Lytechinus pictus: one gene and its partner. The protein of the gene in region 2 interacts with the protein of the main gene of each other region in a biochemical or structural test. Links are inferred from orthologs where the notes say so. Each region holds a gene or a part of one and is shown on either strand. Other genes may lie near its edges.

Evidence for each region.
Region 1: the proteins of elongation factor-like GTPase 1 (region 2) and ribosome maturation protein SBDS-like interact in a biophysical measurement, tested with the Homo sapiens proteins (2 studies listed by BioGRID and IntAct, with this or other methods). The link is inferred for Lytechinus pictus from reciprocal best matches to the Homo sapiens genes EFL1 and SBDS.

Annotation. Positions count from the first base shown.
Region 1 is NC_087246.1:13,039,594-13,050,885, reverse strand, and holds ribosome maturation protein SBDS-like, read right to left. Parts: upstream 6,938-11,292; 5' UTR 6,416-6,937; coding exon 6,282-6,415; intron 5,212-6,281; coding exon 5,082-5,211; intron 4,591-5,081; coding exon 4,390-4,590; intron 3,389-4,389; coding exon 3,218-3,388; intron 2,567-3,217; coding exon 2,438-2,566; 3' UTR 313-2,437; downstream 1-312. UniProt on the Homo sapiens protein: Required for the assembly of mature ribosomes and ribosome biogenesis.
Region 2 is NC_087249.1:8,411,570-8,422,861, reverse strand, and holds the start of elongation factor-like GTPase 1, read left to right. Parts: upstream 1-5,708; 5' UTR 5,709-5,874; intron 5,875-6,272; 5' UTR 6,273-6,291; coding exon 6,292-6,382; intron 6,383-6,752; coding exon 6,753-6,911; intron 6,912-9,268; coding exon 9,269-9,399; intron 9,400-10,658; coding exon 10,659-10,853; intron 10,854-11,292. UniProt on the Homo sapiens protein: GTPase involved in the biogenesis of the 60S ribosomal subunit and translational activation of ribosomes.

The DNA.
Region 1 (11,292 bases), on a different chromosome or scaffold from region 2:
CTCAAATAAAATGATATGTTCCGTTCACATTTTCAGAAAATGAGCAAAATGCGATTTGTTCCAAAATCGGATTGCGAACAGTCGTAAGGTGTGCGGTGGCCTTAATAGATATCATCCACCAATTCATCCTCTATTTTTTCTCTGTCTTGAACATACACATGCCAAGTACTCTCCCAAACTGCATTTTAATAAACCGAAGAAAAAAAAACCGGCTGGTTGAAGTGGTTGGGACCATCATCAAGGTATCTCATGTATCGGGTATACCATCATTCTGAATATGAGTCAACAGTAACACTAGCTGCCAAACAGTCATAAAAGTAGTCAAAATGTTTTATTTGTACATTTTTATCCTTAATTAGATATATAGGCCTATACATGTACCCCATAACATGGCACAAACCGTCACTTGGTCTAATGATAATACCAATTTAATAGTGAAGTGCCTGTGGCCCTTTTTCTAATATCTTTAAGATCTTATTTCATTCTTATTTCATCTCCAACCAGTATTTCTTTTAACATTTAACCAATTTCTTTTCATATACCATATATAAATAGTCTGACTACAAGTTAGATACTGCTAGATGAGCCTGACTATTTGATATTCAGATTACTAGTATACTAATTAGACATTGATTTTCATACTGCATGCATATAACAACATTTATTAGGAACAAAATTCATACATAATTTGTGACCAGGTTTCCAATGTGTATTCCACCTGCCTAAAAAGCTAGACAAGTGAAGAAATACAATTAACAAACGGAAACATCTAACACACACCATTGTTGTAAGATATGAAATAATATTGCACAGTAATCTAATTGGTGCAAAGAATACAAGAGACAATTATCAATGTCTCTTGCAAACAACTATAAACAACTCTGCCCAAGTCAAATCTCTTGGGACAACAGAAATCTGTTTGATTTAAATGAGATATTTTACTTGGGAGGGGGTAAATTACGTATACTTGCCAGTCTAAAGAAGAAAGAGAAACCAGACAAGACTTGAAACAGTTATACTTTATCATTCTTTCTATGTGTGAAATAATCAAATATTACTGTGAAATAACCAAGCATTTCTTTGACATTCAACAATTTGCAAATATAACCAGTTTCAAAGGCACTTGTTGGCAAAAAATGAATTTTGCATAAAGAATGTATACCAATCCTTTGTTTTGTCTTTTCACAAAATTTTGTAAGTTTTAACTCCTGCAGACGAATCTTTTCGTTCAAATTCTTGTATCTTTACAAGCATTTTTGACATGTTTACTGCCGGCAAGCAACAGGTTTCAATAAAATGAGTTAAAATCTATAATCTTCTGTGAGTTACAACCTCAGCTACTCAACTGTCTATATATGACAACTTAAATGTCTGAATAAACAGCATACTTTGAATATCAAACCAAACTTCAGTCTACAAATGGTTATAGAGTGACTAAAGAACCAGCACTAAAATTGGTAGAGTGAGACTGAAATCATTCACAAAACACAGCCCTAGTGCCCTGCAGCATGTTCAACAGAAATTTGTTTGATCTACAAGTAAACTAGCCTTGCAGGATTATGTCATTCTCTTCAGATGACTGAAATGTTTATAAATTGAAAGTATGCATTCTAATTTCTTTCACATCACCTGGTACCCATGTCTAGGAAGACTTATCTTTGATGAAATCATTATCATATTGCCAAGGCTCAGTATATACACCAAGAATCTTGTGTACTTACAGCAACCGTTCTCGTGACGAGGTACAGTGCGTACAAGTATAATGCCTTAAATATCAATACACAGTTAATGTATAGTGCAATCACATTTCACAAATGCAAGAATGAATCTTTAGGTCTGTATTTTGGACCACAGTTTAACTAAAATCAAGTTCTAAGTCTGGGAAATTAATCAAACTTATGGGAAGCTTTAAGTTTCCAGAATTTGTTTTCACTGTTATGCATTTTGTGTTTATTAGGTCCTTCCCCTGTTTTGATGACAATATTCAATGATATCTTTTCAAAATGTGATGATAAATTGATCATCTAATTATACGATTGGTGTCACCTTTGAATACCCATAGTTAAAACAAATAACCAGAGTTCAGAATATGGGCCTATGAAAGTAAGTTTTGGTTTTACTGAAAATCCCCTTTGATAAGAAATCTAGATGGTTAATGCATTCTCATCCATGCAACCAAATATTCATTGACCCATCTAAAATTGGGTCGGTTGTACAACATTCAATTGTAAACCCAAGATCGAACTCTGGTTATACCAAGAAAGAATCTCTGGTTGTACAACAACTCTGCCATAAATCCTACTTGGAGTTCGGAGCAAAAACTGGTGCATTCATCCACAGATTAACCCATTGCCGACTAGAACCTTGTGGGCCATGTACAATGTCCATGGAAATGATAGAGTTCAATAGTCGATGGGTTAAGAGTGATGAGGACGTTTCATTCTAATCTCTCATCTCCTTCTTCCACCTCCTTGAGACTGACTACCTCCACCATCCCCTTCCCTCTGGTACTCTCCTTGACCAGTTCCTCCATCTCTCTGTAGCATCCAGGATCAGCTAGGCATACCTATGATCAAAGAACAGTATCCATGTTTGATACATCGTGAGACAACTGGTTATTTCTTCTACTCAGTATCAATGTCATTATAAAGTCTAATCCTGAAATGCCACTTAGAATTTGTCAATTTTGAACCAAAAATATGTTTTTAGTGGAAGAAAAATTTACAAAACACTCCCTAGATATCAAAGAACAGTATATATATATATGTAGGCGTCCATCATAACATCTGTGTTCACATTTCTCTTCCTTGAAATTTAAAGAGTTTCTTTTGCAACATGATGACAGTCTGTCTATTTCATTCTGTCCTTTTGTGCTGACACCTTTATTATTTTCTGTTTTTACATGCTAGCAATTACACCTGAAATATGATCAGCAACACCAAAACAGCATGTTGTACAGCTCCTGCTGATAAATATTTGAAACACTGACTTTGAATGATCACTAAAATTGTAAAATTTGTAACATGATGACAATATGCAAACACTTAATACATTGAGTAATTGAGAAATTTACCCCTTGAATTTTAATCACCAATCACTCAACATGTCTTTTCCTGAAATGGGAAGAAAAAAGTAATCATTGCTAATTTGAGGGATAATATTTTAGACCATAATAATGCTCTATACTTCTGGGAGTTACTTAAACTTATGGACTTACCATTTCTAAACCATCACTGAAATGTTCCTCTTCAACTGTAGCTATGAGTTGGATCAGTTTGCTCTTCACCTTCTTGGCTTCTTTCCCTGGTAGAACAATCCTCAACCTCATCTGAGCACGATCTATTGCCATGGTCTCAGTCTCTCGAAGTTTCCTGATGACCTCCAGAGCCTTTCGCAGTGAAAAAATGACAAAGATGATGATAAATTTTTCTATAAATTTTTCTTCCCATAATCTTTACAAAGGTGAATAGAAATTTGTTTAATCCCACTTTCTTTAGAACAATCAATGATCTAATAGGCATTCTTTGTCAGAAATCTAGCTTAATAGGAACAAGGCATTTTTCAAAGCGGCTTTTCTGCATCCCCATTGTTTTGCCTAAGATGAATGTGATGATTAATAATAAAAAGGTGTTTGCCTAATCCCTGTATAAAAAAGGCTGATCAGAATTTTGTTGAGGTGCCTTAAATGAATATTTAGCAAATTCATATTGCATATCAAAGCCCATTTTGATTGCTTTCCATTTAGGCTAAATTTCCATATTGACCAATACAACTGATTGAATTTTCTAAATCCTTTAAACCTGTATTACCCACTTGGTATAAACCCGCTGTCTCACACTACTCTACCTCACCTCCATGGTTTAAATTCATTTCACCAATGACCACCTTGTCTCCTAACTATTTATTCTAATTACCAGTCAGCCCTTTCCTAAATTTCTAGTTCATAGGCTATGTCCATCAATGCCTTCTTAGTTTGTAATCACTTGGTCTATCTGGTTAGACAAACTTGTTATACACCAAAGGTGCATTAATTAAAATGGAGGAAATTAATAGTTGGAGGGGCAATCATACCATTAGATCATGAGACAAAACAATATTATTGATCAAGGTATGCTGGCATCAAGTGACTTAGACCAACGAAGATAACCCTATACTAGGCAAGCTAGACAAACCAGGCCAATGTAGCCTTAGTGGACAAAATAAAGTAATCAGGGGTCTGTAAACCAAATCTTTGTGATCAATCATATACTTGACTTTTACGCTTGATTGCACATAAGGATCTATGTAATCAAGCATCAACATCAGCCATATGATCAAACGCTAAGCTTTGTGTTACACCCCCAGGTCAGCAGTGGCAATGTTTAATTAAAGCTACACTATGGGACATACCTGTTGCTTTGTACTCCTGTTTGGTTTGACAGAGTAATGTATATCTTTCATTGCTCTTTCTATCATGCCTACAGTATACGGTCTCTTAGTGTTGGGGTTAACACACTTCTCAGCTACGATTGTTGCAATATCACGGAACATGGACTCAAGCTGCTGGCTACGCTCTTTGTCAGAGACCTGCAGTTCACCCTTGGCTAAAATCTAAAGAGGTGGGGACAAAAGGAGTATGTAGGATAAATGTCTTACAAGTTAAATGATATGGAAATACATCGATAACAACCGTGACTTTTAAGATAATATTGAAGTATTTACAGGTAATATTAGTCAGAACGCAACATTGGAGCAAAAATAAAGGCCTAGACAAAAAATGAAGAAAAAGATATGAAATTGAAATATAAACCATGTTTGAACAACAATGTGATATGATGATCCAAGATTTTAGCTTTTAGAAGTTTGATTGTGACCTTTTCAGTAGTCCTAATTGTAAAAAGGAGAGTTTTTCTGGTCAGATTGTATGTGTATGTACAGTATGTAGCCTAAGCATTTTTTTAAACATGGGATATCTACAATGTTGTGGAGGGTATTCTGCTTCTGTTCTGACTTCAAAACAGAAAAATGCAAGAAATATACATAAAAGACAGATACAATACCATTTACTGATCCTTTAAACAAATGAAGACATAATTACTTACTTGTTTGCAAATCTCTGTGGTATCTTCTGTTCCAAAAGCTTTGACAAGATCTTCTCTCTTGGCGACCTGACCCTTGGAGACATTCACAAATACTGAATGCGTTTGTAAAACCTCATCAATGTCCTTCTCTCTGTTTAAAAGAAATTTAGAAAATATTGATTTCATTAGATTTTAAGAATATTTAAAACTTCATTTCAAAACTCATTTCATATTAGATAGTGATGTATAATCTTAAGTTCCTGCATAAATCATTTGACTATTGATAAACAATCAATTATACAAAGTTCAGCCTTCAGCTACATGCTAGGACAGGACAGTGCATTATCAAACTAAAAAACAATTTTCTTGCAAAAAAAGCCAAAATTCTAAGAGTTCTAATGTTAAACTATTAATGATCAGCTTGACACAATCCCCTTCTCTCCTGAATTAAAATTCTGAAGTAAAAAAAAAACAAGATCAGATGGCTTGGGCTTGATGTAGTTAGATTCATCTTCATCAAACTTCATCAAGGCCAAGCCATCAAGAGGCAGAAAAGGACACACCCGACGATTCCAACAGCAGCACACAAACTCAGACTCATTTGCCAATTCTTCCTTCATCCAAACTATTAACCAGTGGAATGGCCTTCTAACTCTACCAGAAACTGTAGACCAGCCAATCAACAACTTTCAAAAATGCCCTCACTAAAGACCCAATAATTAACAAAATCTAGACCACACTCTAGCTCTACGGCACACCTCCAGTTAAAACTATTCTTTTTTGTTCTTGGAGTATTTTGGAGGAACATCATACCAAAAACCAAGTCATCATCATACTATATTCAGGGAATTTCAGGCACCACCATATCACCATGATTAAGATGACCATTGATATTTACACATCTTCACCAAACTTAATCTGTCATTACCTTTACCTTTATCCGAGATTCTGATATTGATCAATATCAAAAGTAAACAGCTCATCAAATATCATATCAGACATATACTATTATCATGATTATTATCATGATTATAGAGAGGACACTTGCCATAATAATCAACACTTTCATTGTGGCCATCAACGGGAAGACTAGACAATATCATTCAATTATCATGACTGGCATAGATCTAGAAATAGAATAACTTTATTCAGGCATCGTCATCATCATGATTATCCTCATCGACTACATCCATCCATTGTTATCATATTAAATTAACTTACACTTTATTTCTCCATGACATGACCTTGTTCTTGTAGCAGGCTATCTCAAATCTTTTACCAGTTTTCTTTATTCTAACGATGGCAACATTCGTTAACCGGATCTGATTTGTTGGAGTGAAAATTGTTCCAGACATAGCGTCAGAAGAAGTGTCCTGTTTTCGTCAATTGAATTTGAATTAACAATTTTTCTTGTCTAACAAAAGTTAGACCAAACTTATGTTACTGACTTAGATCTAACGTTAAATTTAGATCATGTAGATTGTGCTAAATTTTACTTTTTAGATGAGCTGGCTGAAAAATACTTGAAATGAAGGCAGGGAATGGAGGTAGCAAGCAAAGACTCAAGTTCTCAACTCTGACCGTGGCCGTGGCGTATAGTGCAACGAGCCAGTACAGTGTAATCATGTCGTCCCATAGAGATGTTACTAGTATACATCTCTATGTGTCGTCCGCAAGTGTTGCGCAATAACTGGTAACGTCGATCCGTCTTCTCGCCGCTCACTGCATGCATCGAACAGTTCATCGGTCCTCAAGTCATCATAACAGCCGAGAGACTCGGGCAGATTTTTGGTAATTTTACGCTCGACTCGACTGCCGCGCGTCATGCATGAACCGAGATGCATCGATGGGCCAGGCTCGCTCAACAAGATATATTTGCGTTACCGATTCGAAAATGATTTGATAATAAATCTATGATAAGTTTCGTATTATAAATAAATATTACAATTTTAAGTAATTCAATTTTAATCTTTATTACTTTAGCTGAATTTTTGAATAAAATATTCGAGTGATTACGAAATTTTGGATGCCTAGCTGACATAACAGCTGATAAATATAGTGATAGGTGACCTATGGCATATTGGCATTGCATCAGTCGATGAACGCCGGCAGGTGTCTGTAGCAGTGTAGGAAATCGATTAATTACCACGTCAACGATATCACTTTTGTTTAAAATTTACCACAAAAGAGGTAATCATGGCTGATTCTTGTATAGCAGGATTCGCCGAAGAACTGGACGATTTAGCAAAGGAGTATGAATCAATGAAGGTAATTTTCAATTAGCTGATCAAATTTTTTTCCGGGGCGGTAGTCTTAGCTACGGCCTACGCCTGCGCCTGCGGAGCCTGGCCCTGAGCCGTCCCGGGGCGAGGCTCTGCCTCGATCGCTTTGTCGCGCTGGGCCGGGGCCTGTTCCATGACAAGATGAGCGATACGTAGGAACGTCCTAGGACCATTCTTCCGAGATAGGAAGATTGGCGACAAATCAGCGCTTTCCGTTTCACGAAGGCAATTTTGTCTTCCAAGTCCGCGACATCGTTTGATATCGGACGATAGTGATGATATTGTTGTAGTAAGTCACCCCACCCCCCATATAGGTCTTCCACCGGGAGATGGCGCTGGACCCCTTTTAGACGCTGGAGGACGTTGGATCCCTTGGCTCATCGTATTTGAAGCTGAACTCACACGGAATAGACAGGAACTAGGACATCACTCCAGGAAAATACTGGTTAGTGACTTATTCCTTATATTCTAGCTTCAGGTATCAACCTAGTGCCTAGTGGTCAAGCTGGGGGCGCGACCGCTACAGTGGCGCTGCGAGCCTGACTGTGCCTGCTTTTGTGGGCATTTTAGGCCAAATTATTGAAATTAATTGGGGTATAATTGTCTCGCGGCGAGCTAACGGCCCCCTATTGCGCATCGGACGAGCAAATCCCTATGCCCCGCTGCGTGGGGGGAAATGGTCGCCGCTCGAGTACGAGAAATCAGTTTTAGATTGGGCTAATTACAGTTGATAAGGCTAGATTCAGACTCAGAGCCTTGTCGTATTGCGTATATTCTATGAATATTGTCCCTTGTTTCATGTTTGCGATTGTCCTGAATTGAGAGGTTAAATCTTGATTTGGGACATATTTAGGCAATCGTCCCCTGTCTTTTTTGGTAAGGTTTTCGTCGCGGGGACTGATGGTAGTTCCGGTCCCGTGACGGAAATTTCCAGAAAAGGGGGGAGAACACACGTGTTGTTGTGTTGTGAGTTTGTTTTAGTTTTGTGCTTTAATATCCGTTTTTAGTTGTGGACTGTGTTTCACGTTGGTGTGATTGTGTGATTTGCTTGTGATTTTGGGTGTTTGGATGATTTTTGTGTCGTTTTGCGAGTGATTTGTGAGTGAACTATTTTTGTTGGGGTGAGAGGTGCGTAAGAGTGTGTGTGTTCCGGCTAGGTAAAAGCGCGCGGCCCGATCCAAGATTTCACGGCGATCTATTGGCGGAGAGATATTATTGGTTCTCTCTGCCACCGACCGGCGCCATCTTGTTTTACATCGTCGGCTCAACGTTTGGGTCTAGTTTGAGATCCGAACTGACGTCAGGCCGGACCAATCCATCGCACGTATACGGGTAAACAACGGCGATTATTTGGGCGAGTAGGACGGGAAGCCAGACTGACCAACAAAGGTAGGGCATTATCCCAATCCTCTCTTGCCTGCCTATTTCGGATATTTTGAATTTTGTGTGGTGTTTTAGGGTGTTTTGTCCAAATTTTGGGGGAACGTTTTGTACTCGAAGCTGGGTAGAATTCACGGTAATTATCGAGATCTAACCAGTTAGACCGCCCGATCATTTCCGGGTTTGACGTTAGATCCAGTGCAACTGTGCACGACCATTGGTTGTGTATTGCATACCGTAATAGGTTGGTTTTTGGTGCCAGTGTGTAGTGTTGTGTTGCGTGTGGACCCACCCACTTGTTGTAGCGGGGAGTCCGTTGCCAAATAAATAAAAGAAATAAAAAAAAAAATTTGGAGAGAGTGTGGGGCGACTGTGTATGTGAATAAGTACATGTAATTTGTCTGTGGTGTGAGCGGGCACTAGTCACTAGCGTGATTGAGGACAGAACCAGCTTCGAGGATTAATAAAATAAATAGCCTAGGTAAATTAATAAAAGACAAGTTAGGCTTAACGTTAGAGGTTAATATAAATATTTTTAGAGCTACAATTATTCTTTTTGGCAGTGCTTGTGCAAACTATTAGCCACAACCGGACTAAACTAATCTAATTAATAATAAAAGCTAGAATTTTATACCATAAATTGGGTTTGCATTTGGACCTAATTTTTTGGGATAGCTTTTTTGGATAACTTTAGCAGGTTTTTGGTCGGGCTTATCGCTGTGCCTAACCATTGACTGTTAAAGGTATAATTTTGGACTCTTTACCGGTTGTTAGTTGCTAAAAAGAAAATAAAACGAAGTTTATACCATAAATTGGGTCTGCATTTGGACCTAATTTTTTGGGATAGCTTTTTTGGATAACTTTGGCAGGTTTTGGTCGGGCTAATTACTGTGCCTAACCATTAACTGTTAAAGGTATATTTTTGGACTTATACGGTTTTATAATTTTAGTTGCTAAAAATAAAAGAATTGTTATAAAATAAATTGGGTTGGCATTTGGACCTAATTTTTTGGGATAGCTTTTTTGGATAACTTTAGCAGGTTTTTGGTCGGGCTTATCACTGTGCCTAACCATTGACTGTTAAAGGTATAATTTTGGACTCTTTACCGGTTTTTATAATTTTAGTTGCTAAAAAATAAAAGAATTTATTGGGACCACTTTCAGATAAATTTAAGTAGGTTTTTGGTCGGGCTTATTATTGTGCCTAACCATAAGCTGATTGGGGTATACATTTGGACCTTTTTGTAATTTAGTTGCCAAAAGGAAATAAAAGAAAGAATTTAATAAGATAGGTTGAGACCTAGTTTTAGAATAGCTTTTGGATAATTTCAACAGGGGTTTGGTTGGGCTCAGTATTGGGCCTAACTGAACCTTGCTAGGATAACACCAATTAGGGTAAGCACAACATGGACGGGGAAGAGAAAATCCCCATTAATGTGTGCTCCTTTGAGGAGTTTAGGTTGCTAGGGCTAAGTCCAGCTCTAGCAGGGATAATCCAGGGGATTAGACTTGATCATGGGGAGATAACCCCCAAGCTTTTCGAAAGCAGCCCAGCGCTATGCAGCAATAGGGAGCTAGCACAAAGAGTAGACTTTTCGGGGGGCACCCAGGGGGTAGAGGGCAGTATTTTTATTACCCCTAGGGGGCGCATCACTGCGGGCACCCGTAGCGAGTCTGACCTGAATGGGGTGGCAGGTTCCAGGGGTGTTTACCCCTATGACCAACACCAGCCCCCTAGGTCAAGTCAAAGTAACCAGTCTAGTGGGTCCTGGGGCACCAGCTCATCTCACTTCCGGGAGGAGCGGGGGCATGAGCCCCCAAGCACCAGAGGGGGAGATATGGGGAGTGGTGTAGAGCCTAGGTTTAGGCTCAGGAATCTAGTTGGCGAGGAGGCTAATGGTGCCTCTGTCAATAGATTTATGCAGGCGAGTGGCGATTCAAGCGAATGGTCTGGGGGCGATGACCCCACCACCAAGCAAGCGGTAGCCATGAGGTCCAAGGTAGGTGAAGGAAGGGGCTCCTTGGCCCCACCCCCTACCCCAGATTTCAGCGCAAGGAATGTGCGGGCGGGTATGACACGCCCAGCCCAGTACAGTTCGTCTTCGCCGCCTAGTAGCCCGGCTGCGTCACCTGCGAACTCTAGTGCTTCCTCGGGAAGGGGGACTGGCGGTGGGTTACCATATTACACGCTGCCAAAGTCCCTCACTTTCGACGGCAAGGGTAACTGGAGGGCTTTCTTTAGGAAGTTCTCCGCCTTTGCTGATCACCATAATTGGAATGCCGCGGAGCGCGTAAGCCAGCTATACTGGGGCCTGAAAGGGAAGGCAGAAGATTATCTGTTAATGGTCCTAGATCAAGAGCCCAATATGCTTTATGCAGACTTGATAGTCAGGCTGCAGCACAGGTTCGGGGAGGAAGGTCTTTCCGAATCTGCTCAGCTGGAGTTTGTGGCGGCCAAGCAGGGACCCACCGAGTCCCTGCCGGAATGGGCCGACCGGGTACTCCAACTATCGGCGCGTGCATTTCCAGGGGTCAATGGGTCCTACCCGAATAGACAGGCGGTCCTTCGC
Region 2 (11,292 bases):
TCTGAAAAATATTATTCTTTTATCTCTTAACCATAGTGATAATATATATAATGAAAATAATGACAATGATGATGATGATGATAATAATGAAATAATAATAATCATAATAACGATGATAATGAAATATTACTACTACAAATATTAATACTTACAACGATAATATTTAAAAACCACAATGATTTTAGCGATAATGATAATTATATAATAATAGTAAATAATAGTGATGATAATTTTATCTTTAAAAACCAGCAAGCGCTACGCGCTCGCGTTATATGATTACCGAGGTAGAGTGTACGTATCCTTTTCATGAATTCAAATAAGGAGCAGATCGTATAATATCGAAAGCAATATCGATATCACATTCGTGATTGTTGACGCCCTCTCCGTTCGTTTGTAAATATTTCATAGTTTGGCTGCCATATTGACCTTTTTTATCGTGTTCAACCCAATTAAACATCGGTAAAGTATAATTTTTCATGCCTTTTCATCTATATCGTTTAAAGTATTTTGTTAACAAAATATCCAGTTTTAAAAGTTTGTTGGTTATACATCCTTAGATTGTAAATTCGATGTGTAAAATTACATCAAACTTTGGACTGTGAATTGACAAAAGGGTGGGAATGAGAACAAATGCGAGCCCACACGTATACCCTACCGTCGGTTAATGGGGATTATAGTAAAATGTCAGAAATTGTTGAATAAATCCCCAGAAACGACGGTTATTCCTGTCTAGGGAATGAGAACACATGCGAGCCCACACGTACACCCTACCGTCGGTAAATGGGGATTACAGTAAAATGTCAGAAATTGTTGAATAAATCCCCAGAAACGACGGTTATTCCTGTCTATCTACCGCCTAGCCCTAGGCCCTAGCTTCCCATGACGAAGCTGAGCTGAGCTGAGGAGCCGTCAGAGCTAAAATTGAATGGATGTTGTTGTTGCTTGGCTTTTGTTCAAAAATCATATTTACATCATGATAATAACCTAGTCTTGAGGACTCCATGATGATGTCTTTTAAAACAAATTTGACATGATATACTTCTCCATCATGGAGTCTTGAATCCCTTCCCATACATGCATAAGAGAATCTTGTAAACACAGATGGATTTCCCCAGGAAATCCATCTTTTTTATTAAAAATCACGAAAATTAGCAGGATTTTATTATTCTCTACACCTTCCTACGCCTAATGCATAAGAAGGTTTAAAAAAATATTGAATAAAAATACGTAAAAATAAAGGTTTCTTACCAGACCGATGTCGTGTAGATCCTTCGCTCCACATGTACACAGCGCAAATACAATGGCGACGACCCTTGAACCGCTTATGTATGACGTACATGTACGTAGGTAAACACAGAGAGAAATAGTGCGCATGCATAGCTTATTGTGCACGTACAAGATTAGGAGCGCTAAACTCGTCATTATCATAAGAATGTTTGACCTCTGCACGACGTCGGCCGGGAATCTTGTACTAGCACAATAAGCTACGCATGTGCACTATTTCTCTCTGTGTTTACCTACGTACATGTACGTCATACATAAGCGGTTCAAGGGTCGTCGCCATTGTATTTGCGCTGTGTACATGTGGAGCGAAGGATCTACACGACATCGGTCTGGTAAGAAACCTTTATTTTTACGTATTTTTATTCAATATTTTTTTAAACCTTCTTATGCATTAGGCGTAGGAAGGTGTAGAGAATAATAAAATCCTGCTAATTTTCGTGATTTTTAATAAAAAAGATGGATTTCCTGGGGAAATCCATCTGTGTTTACAAGATTCTCTTATGCATGTATGGGAAGGGATTCAAGACTCCATGATGGAGAAGTATATGTCAAATTTGTTTTAAAAGACATCATCATGGAGTCCTCAAGACTAATAATAGCCAATATTTTTATTATTTTTCTTGCTCTTTGAATTGAAAGATACTGCCTTCTTTTTCGAGTATTAGGCTACTATTAATTAAAAATATTTTTCTTATTTCAAGAAAATATCACATTTTCTTTGTGAATTTGAAGAGAAATGACCTTCAGACTGACAGAAATGTAACATTTTTGGAAAAAAAATCAAATTATTGGCTGCAAAATAGAAGAATTAAATTAGGTCAATTTTCAGCATTTCTCTGCCATACTCCCATAGACTGTGTAGTTAAGAAATGGACACACACAATTCCAAATTTTTAGCTTCCGAGAGCTGTTATAAATTTATCATTAATGCTAAAAACTTGTCCATAAAGAGTCCAATAGGATTTTTTATGCTCTTTCTGATGGTATGATTTTTATAAAGATTTGGAAACCAGATCACAATGAAAAATTGCGACAAAGTGAAAAAAAATTGTGCAAAACAGACATTTCATTTTCCCATAGAAAACGCATGGGGAAATGGCAATCTCAACACACACACAAATAAGGGTTTGCAATTTATCTCTAAATCCTTATTTAAAATGATCATATAAACTTGTCCTTACTGTCAAAAGAAGCCCCTGAATTTTCTCTTTCCATACATGCCAAACACAAGTTAATAATCAATTCAGATCACATTTTTCTAGCAGCCTGAATTTCCCGAAAAAATGTGCCATATTTTCCCCTAAATCAGCCTGTTTTATGCTGACACTTTTCAGTGTGGCTTCAGACACCCTAGTATCAACATTTTGTATTTCTCGTAGTCGTACACTAGACAGCTGGCAGCCGTCTGTTTCGAGGAGTTTTTTTAACATTTTAAAATTTTTTTGTTTCTCATACACAGACGGCTCGCTATCGTGCAGCCGCCATTAGGGGGTTAACAATTCAAAATTCCCCCGACGGGGCTCATCGATTTTTGTCTTTATTTCATAAAAATACAAAAAAGAAATGGACTAAAATGAAGGTTATTATTCTGTTTTGGCCTGAAATGCACCAAAACGGGGAAAAATAAACTTAAAAGAAAGAAAAAAAGTGACTTACTTCGGCTGTTGCGCAACTCCCACTCCCTGGTTTATCCCATTTTACACATAACAATATGGCCATTGAGTCCCTGTACACATCGAGTTAGAACTACGGTCTCTGTAATTGGTGAGTGGAGCTAACGGAGTTCAGCGTAACAGCAATATAACAGACCGAAGCTTTTGGTCTACTCGTACACAGACAGCTCGTGATCGTGCAGCCGCCATTAAGGGGTTAACAATGCAAAATACGCTGACGGGGCTTATCGATTTTTGTCATTATTTCATAAAAATTTATAAAAAGAGCTGGACCAAATAATAATTATTATTCCGTTTTGGCCTGAAATGCACCAAAACAGGAAAAAAATTAACTTAACGGGAAAAAAAACAGTGACTTACTTCGGCTGTCGTGCAACTTCCACTTCCCTGGTTTATCTGAACTTAATACTTAAACATATGGCCAATGAGTCCCTGTACAGATCGAGTTAGAACTTTGGGGCTCGTTTCTCAACACCGTCATAAGTCTGGTTATGATATAACCTTGTTCTCTGTTACTCCTCCATCAGTCCATGTGAGGCAAAATAAGGTTGGCAATGTTTCTTAAAGGACAAGTTCACCCCAACAAAAAGTTGATTTGAATAAACAGAGAAAAATCCAACAAGCATAACACTGTAAATTTCATCAAACTCGAATGTAAAATAAGAAAGTTATGACATTTTAAAGTTTCGCTTAATTTCACAAAACAGTTGTATGCACATCCTGGTCGGTATGCAAAATGAGGAGACTGATGACATCATCCACTCACTATTTCTTTTGTATTTTATTATATCAAAATATGAAATATTCTGATTTTCTCCTCAGTGTCAAGTGAAACAACAATTAATTCCTCCCTTAGGAACATGTGGAATTAGCATTATTTAATACTACATGGTTCAGTCAAGTTGGTCCTTATTGTCAAATCTGTGAAAAATGAAATATTGTATAATTCAAACAATAAGAAACAAAGGAAATAGTGAGTGAGGGACACCACCAACTCTCACATTTGCATGCCACTAAGCTGTGCATATCACTGTTTTGTGAAAAATAAACGAAATTTTAAAATACCATAACTTTCTAATTTTACATCCGATTTTGATGAAATTTTCAGCGTTATGCTAGTTTTTTTTTCTATTTATTCAAATCAACATTTTTCCGGGGTGGACTTGACCTTTAAGTAAATTTGATTCTTTTAATTTTCTCTAAATTAAAAATATAGATTGAAAAAGACAATTTTCTTGCCATATTACTTTCCACCAATAGAGGCATACACAAAAATATGCAAAAAATTCAAGTTTTTGAGCACTTTGGTGAATAAAAAAATTATTCCCAAGTTACCAATGAAAAATAAATTGCAACTGTATCAATATTAGTGTTTTTGTTCCCAAAAGTGATATTTAAATGATGTTTTAAAATGTGTGCTGTGTAATGCATTGGCATACCATAGTCCTACATCTACCTGTAGATTCCCCACATGCAGGAAGGTTGCAGTGAGCAAGTGGGCCTAAGTAATGTTAATCTAATTAACCCAGAGAGAGCTAAGCTAAGCCAGAGGCCCGCGCCTTCGCAGGCTGGAGCCCAGAAGGTAACCATGTCAAACAGTAGGCTGCCACAGGTAGCATTCTAAAATGGGTACTGGTACCTTCGAGGTTGGGGTACCAGAAACACCCAAAATTAAAGAAAAAAAGAGAAATCATGCACCCACCTCAATTCTATGGATGACGGTCTAACTGACAGCAGAATACTGAGACCTGACATGGAGGCAGTAGCCAGCACCAGACCCTAAAAAAAGGGGGAAAAGGCCGCGTTCGTTCACTCGCTTTAAAAATTGCAAAAAAAAGTGGCCGATCGATATACCAAGGGCGCATGTGCGAATTTGGCTGAGTCTATTTATTTTTCTTCAAAATCTGTTTTCTTTGCACATACGCCATCGGTAAATCAATTGGCCAGTTTTGTTTGCAATTTTGAAAGCGAGTGAACGAACGCGGCCTTTGCCCCTCTTTTTTGAGGGACTGGCTACTGCCTCGATGTCAGGATTCTGCTGTCGGTTAGGCCTTCATCCATAGAATTGAGGTGGGTGCATGACTTCATTTTTTTCTTTAATTTTTGGGTGTTTTTGCTACCCCAACCTCGAAGGTACCCATGTTAGATGATTGGGTTAGGTCTAACCATGCTAACAGACTATCATTGCAATTGCTCTTTCCCAAATTTTACATTGTTTTTAACACAGCTTTGATGACAATAATTTCCCCCCCCCCCTGACCCACCTCAATAGGGCACTTGTGCACCGGTAATAAACCAGTTCACTAAATCATGCTAAAGTATTAAAGACTCTCATACTCAGATTCATTCCTTGTATCCTACTGAATTGAATTGGAAACATTTAAATTCTCAGTCAGCATGGTCAGGTTTCGTGGCTTCTGCTTTTGCTGTAAATTCCAATATGGACTGAAGTACGCAACCAAAATTATGCAAACGGGTGGGCAGGACTTTTAACTTCAGCCCATATCAAAACTAGCCGTGTAGTATTCAGCGGAGATGAGTGTAGGCATCTGAGAATTTGAACGATGGCATCAAGGTTGAAGCCAAAATAAAGGTGTTCCTGATGCTCGATGTGGTTGAAAATCAGGTTAAGGATCAATACTTGGGAAAAAATTCAGACAAAAATTGCCAGGTGCAAAAGCTGCAGTGGCAGTGTTGTCTGAGTTCCGGGTGGGTCCATGACTCAGAAATTTATTTTTTGCTAAACCTTGCAGTCCGTGTTCAGGCCGGGTTTTCCTTCCGCGCTCCTACGTTATTCAGGAAAGTTGGTGATCATTCCCACTTCACTAAAAACTGACGGTAGTCATAAGTGACCATCTTGATGACATCATCTTCCAACTAGACTCTGTATGATAAGCAAGTAAAGTGGTGATCAATGGTGAGTTAGACGTAAGCCACCTTTACTCATGAGATGATGTTCTATTGTTGTGCCATTTACCAACTTGGGTTTGTCAGCAAATTGTCTTTTATTCAAATCATTATGAAAATTAAATCTGCAAGGTTTATGCAGGTCATTTTGGTTATGTCAAATAAACTCTATTTTTTTTTACTTGGGGGTAAGGGCCTAACTGGTATGTTGCCACCAAGCCTGACCAAATGCTGTGTGAAGCAGATTTGTGATATCGAGTGTTGATTCAAAATGTCATAACTTTCATGTTTCATTTATAATCAATTTTCTGTACACTGCTTGTTTAATGTTCTCTAATTCAAATTAATTTCTTGTTGGGATGGACTTCATGTTAACCTCAAACATTTCTTTTTTTTTTCCTTCTACAGCTAATAGCGACAAAGAATCATGAGATCTGTCTCCATTCAGAAACTTGCCCAATTGCAGAGTGATGTTGACAAGATCAGAAACATTTGTATCTTAGCACATGTTGATCATGGTAAGCCGCATGAATATTAAAGCTGTATGTTCAAAGAAATGCAGTATCATTGACATGCCCAGCTCTGCATTGCAGAGTAAGACTATAGGTGCTGCTTTACCGACGACATTGTCAACATTGAAATCTTGTCCAAGGTTAAGTTTTGAAATGTTGTGATAACTAGTATAATAACAGCTAAGATTTCATGATATCACAAAGTAAAGATTACGTTAAAATACCAGATCTAGATCTATGATAATACTGTGACAATCAACCTTGATTTTAAAGACTTTCTCATGAAAAAAATTGCTTGCTGCAACAACATTCTTTTACCTTTAAACAGAATATTATCAAGCTTGAATACTCTATTCGATTTTTTTTTTCTGTTCAGGTAAAACTACCTTGGCAGATGCTCTCATCTCCAGTAATGGGATCATATCCACCCGTATGGCCGGCAAGCTGAGGTACATGGACAGCCGCGAAGATGAACAGCTACGAGGCATCACCATGAAATCCAGCGCCATCTCCCTTCTCTATAGCAATACTCCAGGTACGATGGAAAAAGTTACATCGGGGCTAGAGGTGATTTCGCCCCCCAAAATGCTGAAAGAGCCCTGGAAAATGAAAAAAAAAAACACTGGAAAGTCCACATTCTCTGAAATGTTAAAGCTTATCCAATGTTGTAGCAGGTTTAGCCAGTAGATTGTGAAAAGAAGGCCCAGAAAATGAAGTTATTCTTTTGCCTGCAGGTTTGTTCCATGCTTGCAAACATTATATCCAGGAGGGCTGTTTCACAAAATATTAAGATTGAGTGTAACTACATAATGGCAGGCAATAAATAGCACTTCTTGCTCTTGCCATTCGATCATTTGGGTGTTTTAAAAATTGTAAAGTGTGGCTTAAATTCGCATTAAAATCCCAAGTTGTGTGTGGCAGAGGTATCACTGCATTGATCAAATCATGTGAAGAGGATGCATACTACTGCGTATTAGTTAATAAGATTGCTTGTTACATATATTTGAAAATTACATTACTTTGCTTTTAGTTTTGCCTATTTGTTTTCCTCACATATGTGCCTCTGTCAGTGAGTCAAGGTAGTCTGCAGGCACAGACTCATATTTGACAGTTTAACTAAAACCATGTCTAGAGTGAAGACTAGACTCCGAAGTCTCTCTCTCTCTCTCTGTGTCAGAGCCAGCCACCGTACATAGTGAATCTAGTCTCGCCACTTCAGACTCTGCATTATGCACTTTGGGAAATTGCAAAAACCAAGGGTCTACAGACTATAGAGTCAAGGGCCCATATTCATAAAACCATGATAGGTCTTTTCACCACCTAATTGTACATCATGGCCAATATTGTTGTAATTTTTAATAGCTTGCTTATTATGGTTTATCTTAGACCATGGTCTAACTCTCTGCTCATATTATGGGAAGCCAAAAGTGTCCAAAGTTGTATGTTTCTTATGCAGGGTAGGAATTAATTTTTTTTTTTAGGGGCTACTTTTTTTTTTACATTGGGGCTACCACTGAATATCTTGGGGCTATTTTCTAATTCATGGGGCTACTTTTTTTATCGCATTATATCAGCAATTACCTTTTGACATTCCGAGACTCAATGTGATGCCTAGAGGCTCAGAACATGTTTATCTGTAATTACTGTAGGCTACAGGCCTTACAATAAACAACAGTGATCCCACCAGAGCAGTGGCGTACCTAGGATTTTTCACAGGGGGGCAAATTCGTCCGCCCAATAATGTGACAAGCAAAAAAAAAGTCTTCAACCACAAATATAGGATTTTGTACCCCCCCCAAAAAAAGTGCATGGGTTGTGACTCGTCAGGGGGGGCAGACTGCCCCCTGCCCCCCCCCCCCCCCGTAGGTACGCTGTCGTCTTCAGCTTCACACACTTCAGATTCCAGCCAATCGAGGCCCCAAGTCCAAGACTTTATTGTCGATTGTCTCTGTACAGTACTGTTTCTTTTTTGGCTTATCCTTCTCAACAGTATCTCGATTTGGAGAGGCTTCTGGCTCTGGCCGTTTGGCAGAGCCAGGTTGAACTCGAATTAGAAACTTATCCATCTCGCACTCCGACTCGACGATGTCGATAATCAGCGCTGTCACAATCACCAGCTGATTGCATACTTCTGTGCATGCCTAGTACACATAATATACCGTACGATGTACGTGGTCTCGTTACCAGCTGTGCAGTCTAATCGTGCACGTGTACATGTACATAAGCCATGCGGCAAGTGCGTCAACAATTCTAAAAACCCCGTGCTAAAGACTATGCGTACTCCGCATCCCATATTGCATTGCGCGTTTATTTACTATCGCGAAGCTTCCGGTGTTACGGAAGGTTCGGATATTGCATCGACCGTTCAACTTAAAGCTGGCAAGGGCGATATAAAAGATGCACTTGTTCCGCCGCCAGAGAACGTAATTATGTGAAGTATTTTTTACATTGTCGATGGTATTTTATTGGGGCGATTCTGAAATAAATAGTCGCCCCAAAGCATTGTGTTTTGAGAATTTTTAGGGGCGATTTGGGCTGTCATGGGGGCAAATTCGCCCGTCGCCCCCGTGTAATTCCGACCCTGTTCTTATGTTTACTGTGCTCTTTCCTGATTCATCGATGGTGAATACAATCATCTATTTATACTTCCTAGACAATTATGAATGATTTTAGGGCCAAATGAGCTGAAATATGTATATATATATCTCTACTGTTAGTGATTTATAATTATGTAACAATTGGCTATCCATGCTTAAACCACAACTTTAAACCTGGGTTTAATTCAAACTCGACTTCAGAATACGGGCCATAGTGTCTTAGAAATCCATATTGCTGTTGTTGTTATTCCATTATCAATGAGGTCAGTGTTGAATTTTCTTATTTCATCCACAGAAGAGGAGTATCTGGTGAATCTGATCGACTCCCCGGGGCATGTGGATTTTTCCAGTGAAGTTTCTACTGCTGTCAGGCTGTGCGAGGGAGCCCTAGTAGTCATCGATGTCGTAGAAGGCGTCTGCCCACAGGTCCGTTTTCTATGTCTCTTTTTTTTAAAGATTGGTGATTCGTAAATGATAATTGGGAGCCTCTTGGCCAGTTGGACCTGTGTATACTCATTTGCAGCTTTGCATAGAATTAAAAAGTAGAGTTTATATTTACAGTGAAACCTGTCTATAGTGGCCACCCATGGGAAGCACACAAATTAGGTGGCTGCTACACACAACTTCTTACAAACACAGTCTGCCTCCATGGGAGTCAGTTTTAGTGTTCATAATAGACAGGTGGCTGCTATAGACAGGTTCTTAAACGCACAATCTGCCTCCATGGGAATCAGATTTGGTGGTCACAATAGACAGGTGGCTGCTATAGACAGGTTCTTATACACACAATCTGCCTTCATGGGATTCAGTTTTAGTGGTCACAATAGACAGGTGGCTGCTATAGACATGTTCTTATACACACAATCTGCCTCCATGGGAATCAGATTTGGTGGTCACAATAGACAGGTGGCTGCTATAGACAGGTTCTTACACGCACAATCCTTCATGGGAGTCAGTTTTAGTGGTCACAATAGACAGGTGGCTGCTATAGACAGGTTCTTATACACACAATCTGCCTCCATGGGAATCAGATTTGGTGGTTACTGTAGGCAGGTGACTGCTATCATGTGGCCGATAACACAGGTTTGACTGCAGTTACCATACGTACACAAAGGTGTCTGATCGCCTGTTTAGGATTTTGAAGATTAGAGATTTTCCAGTTTATTTATTTTAACCTCATGAGCTTAGCATATAGTTGCAGACCACATTATCATTTATTGTTGATCTTTCATTGAATGCTTAATAATAATATATAGCTTGTTGTTTTTTTTAATGTAAATCAAAGAAATCAGAGATTGTGTATACATGTATTCTACTTTAATTATGATTACAAATATTATAATTGTATCTTGTATATTTTTGTAAGTTTAGTTAGTGTTGTTCATTTTGAGGGCCTTTAACACCCACCATATTGGTGGATATATTTTTCTCTTTATAAGCTGTGTTTTTATTGTCCCGCCCACCAAGTATGAAGACAGGACTTAGGGATCCATATCCAGCCCTACCCTACCATCACAAAACTGTCACATGATAAGCAATTTTTATGGGAGTCGCTATGGCAGATATTTCACAGTAAGCTGTTGGTGCAATTCTGCTGTGTGGCAACGGCGACCACAATATTTCTAGTAAATTTTGCAATCGTCGAGATACAATTCACCAATGCCTTGGTATTATCACCCCTTCAGACTCATGTCGTCTTAAGGCAGGCCTGGCTGGAGCACATCAAACCTTGCCTGGTGCTGAACAAGATAGATCGGTTGATCAGTGAGCTCAAGTACACACCGATGGAAGCACATCTTCATCTTCAGCAGGTCCTGGAGCAAGTCAATGCTGTCGTAGGAAACCTCTACGCTTCACATGTCCTGGAGAAAGCTTCAAGCGTAGGTGTTCACTTTGACCATGCCGCTTCTGTAATGGTTTTATTTATAGGCATTATGCCTCTGTACCTGTGCTGCAGTTCTATGCAAGTCAGATTTAGGTCATAAATTGATTCACTCAATTGTGGATTTGAAGTTGATTTGATGGTCTGTTTTTGGTTACCAAAAGGTCGACTTGATTTGCTGGGACCTGTTGCATAGAAGTTACTATTATGGTAACTTTGACATCCAATGGTAACTACCATGGCAACAATGCTAAACAGTCAATCAAACTCAAGGAATCCCTGAAAGTTACCATTGGATAGCACAGTTACCATAAGAGTAACTTTTGTGCAATGTGGTCCTGTAAAAGTAATATTCAATATCAGCCAGTCAGCTACAAATTTGTAATAGATTGCAGATCAGTTTCTTGCAACAATCTCTCTGCTTCTCGGTTTATAGT